Kluyveromyces lactis: one gene and its partner. The protein of the gene in region 2 interacts with the protein of the main gene of each other region in a pairwise test. Links are inferred from orthologs where the notes say so. Each region holds a gene or a part of one and is shown on either strand. Other genes may lie near its edges.

Evidence for each region.
Region 1: the proteins of SYF1 (region 2) and CEF1 interact in binary tests that used the Saccharomyces cerevisiae proteins (3 or more experiments, as listed by UniProt). The link is inferred for Kluyveromyces lactis from reciprocal best matches to the Saccharomyces cerevisiae genes SYF1 and CEF1.

Annotation. Positions count from the first base shown.
Region 1 is NC_006039.1:634,758-637,901, forward strand, and holds CEF1 (Cef1p), read right to left. Parts: upstream 2,226-3,144; coding exon 594-2,225; downstream 1-593. Other genes in the region: CAF20 (Caf20p), read right to left, coding at 1-381; EFR3 (Efr3p), read left to right, coding at 2,872-3,144. UniProt on the Saccharomyces cerevisiae protein: Involved in pre-mRNA splicing and cell cycle control.
Region 2 is NC_006037.1:178,246-182,011, forward strand, and holds SYF1 (mRNA splicing protein SYF1), read right to left. Parts: upstream 2,610-3,766; coding exon 213-2,609; downstream 1-212. Other genes in the region: AFG1 (Afg1p), read left to right, coding at 1-93; VMA8 (H(+)-transporting V1 sector ATPase subunit D), read left to right, coding at 3,029-3,766. UniProt on the Saccharomyces cerevisiae protein: Involved in pre-mRNA splicing and cell cycle control.

The DNA of each region.
Region 1 (3,144 bases), on a different chromosome or scaffold from region 2:
CTTGTCTGCGACGATATCCCTCGCATCAGCTGGTCTTGAGGATGAAATGTGTTTGTTTGGCTTCACCTTCAATGTTTCTTGAGCGATGACAATGGTTGGTTCTTCTTCTTCAGCCACAGACTTTCTTCTGACCGCTGGAGCAGTTTCTAGTGTAGACCATCCTTCCTCATCGGTAGTAATTTTTGGTTTCAAATGCTTGAATTTTGGTTTAGCATGGTGGTGAGAAGATCTTCTTCTGAAGTGAGAAAATTCTTCTTCATGTGCTTCTTGGATTTCTTTCACTTTTTCAATTATAGCGTTGAATTCATCAACGTCGAAGTTTGGTTTAACTGGTTCGGTTGGTCTTAATTGTAAAAGTTCTTCTTCTGTGTACCTGATCATCGTGGCCCGGGAATTAGTATTTGCTTTGTGATGGCTTCGAAAGAGTTCCAGTAGAAATAAAGGGGAGAATTGTTATGTCCACACAGAGCAATTGCTAACTGTCTCATATTGTTCTTAAAGTTTGCAATTTCGTAAATCTTTTCATCTTTAAGTTCATAATTTGAAAATTTCATGATTATGGAAGGAAGACTCAAAAAGAAGGGTCCGGGTAATCATTGACTACGCTGGGCAAGTTTGATCTGTTCCGCAAGAGATTGTGTCTCTTCTTGCATAGTCTTATGGTCGTTCCTGTACTTCATGTAGTCAGTGTAGTATTGGTATGCTAAGCCTGACACTGTCGGATGTAGTTTTTCTTCAAAATCTTGTGAAAGTTGTGAAACAGCCTCTCTGTGAGACTTGACGGAATCCTCAAGCGCTGTTCGCAGTTCATGCACTTTTCGTTCCATGCCGAGCAGTTCGTGCTCCGTAGCCGGTGTTATAGTTTTTAAGCTAGTTTCCAACTTGGGATGTAAGACAGTGCTGGGCACTTCGGTGGTGGATGCAGAATTAATGATCTCTTCTAAGTAATTGTTTACTTCCGTGGAATTGTAAATGGGGTTACCATTCTCCTTTGCTGAGATTATACGATTCAATTCACGGTCAATTTCATTCTTTGGATCTACTATCGGACTGGGTACCTGTAATTCTGTTTTTATTTGGAATACTGTCGGTATGTATTCCATTATTTCCATTGCCTTGTTTTCCGATTGATGTTCCGTGGAAGATATTAAGGCTTCTAGGGGATATTTACCATTAACATACGAACTTTCAGTATTAAAAGCATCAGTGGATTCCATTTCTTCATCTAAATCATCCAATACAATTTCAAAATCGTTCTTAGGAGAAGGCAATGATTCAAATAAATGAAGTATAGATGTTGTTTTGTTTATCTTCCGTTTTGATCCTTTTAAAGTAGCAGGAGTAAGCTCAAGTTTAGGTTTCTTGTACTCATCAGTTAGTACAGAATCTAATTTTGTTACTGATGACGTTATTTGTTCGCCTTGCCTTCTCTTTTGTGGTATGGTTTTCTTTTCATCAGATTTCCTGTCAAGTAAACCTTTCCTTTCTACCAATTTCTCAAAACTCTTGAGTAGCTTCTCAGTCTGTTCATCCTCCTTTGAGGTATCGTATATACCCGGTAGTGGTTGCTGTTCATACGCAATATCCTCGTTGTAATCCATCTGCGAAGAATATTTCTTCCTGGGAGCTTTGATTTTACTATCAACGCCCGCTTGTTTCAACTCTCTACGCTTCTGTAAGAATGCAACACGCTTACTTTCTTCTAGCATACGTTCTCTTATCTTACGAGTAGCCTTTTTACCCTGAGTGTTTAATAGCCTGGCACGAGCTTCCGCCAACATTTCTCTCTCCTCGTCAAGTAGCTCATCTTTATCAGCCTTGGCTGGTAAGCTTTCGTTATTTGGGTTGATCTCACCGATCTGTACCCCTGTAGTTGCTGCAAGCTCTAAATCATCCTTATCAATCGCCAGGAGGATATTATATCTGTCGATACATGTTTGAGCAGGTCTACCCATCATTTCTCCGATGCTTTTCCATTGGTTTGGAATTCTTTTCGCTAAATCTAGTAGTTTATCATCTTCCTGCTGGCTGAATGGTTTGAAGTTTAGACTGGGATTCAAAAATTCATTCCAACGAGATTGACATTGCCTGGCATTCTTCTTCTGTAGAAGCGAAGCTACTTTACTCCATGCATGTGTTCCATATTTTTGAACAGCCGCCTTTAATATTTGATCCTCAAGGTTCGTCCAAATACCACCTTTGACATAAATCGGAACAGGAGCCATCGTACGTGGTTACCGCCTTTGATTAACTTCCCTTTGAACCAACGTTACAGCTTTAGCTGATACTATTATTAATTAGTTTCCTATGTTTCCACCAAGTATATGTCAATTTTATTTTCAATCCAATCCCAAAATTGGATTATCTAGATTTACACAGTGTTATAAAGAAATAAAACAATGTCAGCGAATAAAGAGGGAACTGTATCCGAACACATAGTTTACATATTGCTTTACTCGCAAGAGCATAGGTACCTTTTTCGTATTATTTCAGCAATGCTGGATACTGGTTTCTTTTGTGACTTCCTCCAGTCAGTACTTCGGTCTTTAAACTACCTATATTTTATTAGAATACAACAAACTCTGAAATTCTTTCAGAAAACACATGACAGATAATGAGAAAGTATATGTTGTTCTTCTCTTATTAAATAATGATCATCATTAACATTATTATGTTCTTTTTCAGCTATAGTTTTTCTAGTTCCCTTGTTTATATAATGATTGGCTCTCTATTACGCAATAAAAACTGGAAAAGGGTTTTTTGTTCGAAGACATTTTTTAAACTTAGAAATTGCATACTATATTGAAATCGCCAACACTATTGATGGTTCGACGATAAAACCCATCCAAAAGACTCCAACGATCCGTGTCAATGGGCTTTCTCTTCACCCCTAAGCACCAGAAATTGGTGAATCAGTGTTATCCACCAGGCCGAACTCCCGATAAGAAGCCAAAAGGGTCAGAGACTTCGTACTTGTTATATTATGTTAATTCGAGACGTCCAAAATTGGAAAAGGTCAGCAGTTACCTTGTGAAGAGGTCGACAACGGATTTGAACAGAAGACGTTCCGGTAATGTCTCTGTCACTCTAGAGCTACTGGCTAAAATCGTCGAGAATTGTAATGAAAACATGAATATTTTCATC
Region 2 (3,766 bases):
ATTTTCGCATTAGATGAAGAACGGTTTGCATTTGCAAGAGCCCTAAGTAGATTATCCCACATGAGTTCAACTGATTGGGTCGAAAAACAGTAAGATACTAGTGTTTTTGTATGTTACACGTCATCAAAGAAAGACAATACGACATCTTCCAAAACAAAACATAAGAGATTGATCGATATGCCATTATCAACTTTAATCAATATATATCCATTTTATAGACCTAAATCAATTTCAGCCGTATTTGAGTATCCTTTATCTTCTGCGCTTGGTGGTCCGCTTCCACTAATTTTCGCAGTTGACGCCCTAAATTCGATGCTATCTGCATGTCTGGATACTTCCTCTGTATTTACTTTCATTGTGTCCTCTAGGAACCTACGTGCTTTTAGCATGTTCTTGAACGAGTCTTTTGTACCGTGCATAGTTTCGAAATTCCTCCAGAAATCCCAAAGTTCTTCATTCTGTGCGGGCTTCAGTAATTTGCTCCCGTAGTCTAACAATGCTCTACAACGAGCAACCTCATTACGCGATTCTTCTAAGATAGCAAATGGAAGTAGAAACTTGATTGCTTTAGAATTGGGCAATGTTTCTATACATTCTTCATATAGTTTTCTGGTGTGATTGACGTCCAATTGTTTTTCACTTCTATTGATGCATTCTTCCCATAAAGTACATTTACTTTCAAGATCCGAAATATTCTTGGCTCCTTTGTGCAAAATCTCGACACTTCTCTCGTGGAAACCAAGGTTTAACTCAAAGTCGCTGTACTTTTCAAAGAACGAAACACATGCCACTCCTGAAGCTGCAAGCTTAATAGCAGATTCAAAAATATCTCTTTTTTGCTCTTTAGTGATATCAGCTTTGAGTGCCACATCCAGATATATATCCCAAATAGACTTCGATACGCTTGGAGGAAAAATCTCAACACTCCTTTCGAAAACAGCCAAAGCTTCTGCTTGATGGCCAGAAGATTCATTTAATAACGCATAATTAATAAACATGGCTGGTGTTGCTGCCTTGATGAGTATTGCTGTTTCATACGCATTTACAGCTGTACCATAGTTTCCTTTGACCTCCAATAAGTCAAGGTACATTGCCCATAAGCGTTTAGATGAGAAAATTGCTGCTTGTGCTGGCGATTCTCCTTTCTCAAATTTTTGTAGGAGTAATTCATGATTATCTGGTATTTCTAATACAACGGACAAAACTTTTATGGCATCGTCAATGCTTCTTTTTAGTCTGTATTCACACCAATATAACCAAACATTTTCAAGATCTACTAAAAATTTGAAAGGGACGTTAGTGGCTTTGTCCAGCAAGACCTCGGATTTTTCAATATCCTCTTCAAAAAGTCTGCAATATTGACACCATAATTCTCCTAATAGCCCTGGAGTAGTCTGAAGTCTATAGTCCACGGTAAGAACAGCATCTGCATAAACTTTAGCTTTATCAGAGATGGTATCAAAAAGCTTCACTCGTTCTAGCCACAATTTGATGTTGTTGGGTTCTCGCCTCAATTCTAAGTCGTTTAATCTAATAGTGTGGTTTTTTATTAATGAGGTTAGAGTGTCGGCATGTAGTCTTATATTTGCGAACAGCCGTTGCTTTTCTGAATTATCGTCTTTCATCTTTTGAATTAATTCTTGGGTCAATAGCTCCTCCATACGAATCCAAAAATCATATAATACAGAAAATTCGATAATGTCTTTAGTTTCGCTTATAACTTTCTCTAAGTACAGCTCAGCTTCCGTTATTTTTCCTTGACGTATCAGGTTAAATATCAAATATGTCTTAAGTTCACCCTTCTTGAAAGGGAATAATTCGATACATTGGTCCACTACCGCAGCAACCCCTGCTGAATTATCCACAAGAATCATTGAAGTGATGTAACTAACGTAAAGTTCAAATAAACTTGTCTGAGATGGCTTTAAATTAGGTGATAGATGTTTTTCAAATACTCGAACGATCGTGCTCCAATCATGAGTCTTAAAAATGTAGATCAATAAAGGCTCTATGTCGTCACAAATAAGTGAATATCTCTGTAGGATTGAGGAAGACCAGAGGTCTGTATCAAAATTCGTCGAATGCTCTCCGTGAACAAAATAGTAGATGGAATCCTCTAAAGAAAGTTCATACCTCTTGTTGTCTATTAACAATTCATTGATAATGAAATCGATGACAACACGCCATATTGCTTCATGGTACTCCCACGACATTGATCGTAGCGCTTTTCCAAGCAGTTCTCTAATCCTCTTCAAATCCTTAAACTGTATTACCCATTCCATATACATAATCCATGCATCCCCAACTTTGCCACATGATGTTAAGCACTGTTCGAATAGTAACGATATCTTATTGTATTCATCTTTGTGCCTGAAAATATCACAATCGTTCAATAATTCTATCCTCCATTTCAAGAACTCTTTCCATAGATGCCAGTCGTCCTTGATCTCCTTCAAACAACGTTCGTATAGCCAATCTAAATTCAACTCATCGCCTGCTGATCTTTTAGTTGCCAAATATCTCGACCATGATACAGCATTGTCTCTTTCTCTAACAACACCATACTCAAACGGAATATCTTCCTCCTTGACAAATTTATCTATTTCCATCGAAACATATGTCTCTCGCAGTACCTGGTGGAAAAACAGTGCACTAACTTTACCTTAGATGGAGCTTTAATTGTAACTCATCTCATTAAACGTTTTGACATATCACCGTAAATGAAATAATATCTAAATTTCGAAATTAACCAATTTTCAAAATATCTGAAATATAAGACATTCAATCATTTGACGAAAGAAAGGTAGAAAAGGGGGGCATATATCAGCTGGGGCAGAACGTTGCAATTAGGCTGGCACTGACAAGTATCCAACCTGGAACACATTTACTTGTAATCGTTTGCTTTTTCTTTGAAAAGAACTGTTTTTCTACTGTACCAATCAGGTGAGTTTGGTACTAAGCGTACTGATAACATATTACAGCAAGGAAGGAACGACTTCACTCCTAGCATCTTGAATTTTATCGAAAAATGTCTAGTAATAGGGAACAGGTTTTCCCCACTCGTATGACCTTGGGTCTTATGAAGACTAAGTTAAAGGGTGCTAATCAGGGTTATTCTTTGTTGAAGAGAAAGTCTGAAGCATTAACGAAGAGATTCCGTGATATCACTAAAAGAATAGATGATTCAAAGCAGAAGATGGGCAGAGTGATGCAAACAGCTGCGTTCTCTTTGGCGGAGGTCACATATGCTACAGGTGAAAATATAGGGTACCAAGTTCAAGAGAATGTTGCCAATGCAAGATTCAAAGTTAGGGCCACGCAAGAAAACGTGAGTGGTGTGTACTTGCCTCAATTTGAATCATTCATCGACTCCAACATCAACGACTTCAAAATGACAGGTCTAGGTCGTGGTGGTCAACAAGTTCAGCGTGCTAAGGAAATTTACTCAAGGGCTGTTGAAACACTAGTTGAATTGGCTTCGTTACAAACGGCTTTCATTATCTTGGACGAAGTTATCAAAGTTACCAACCGTAGAGTGAATGCCATTGAACATGTGATCATTCCAAGAACGGAAAACACCATTGCTTATATCAACTCCGAGCTAGACGAATTGGATAGAGAAGAGTTTTATAGATTGAAGAAAGTGCAAGAAAAGAAACAGATTCAAACTGCTCAGTTGGATGCTGAAATGAAGCAGAAGAAATTAGATGAAGCAAATGCTGAGTCTGAAGGTAAACCAGATTCTCAAGAAGCGACCAAAACTGGC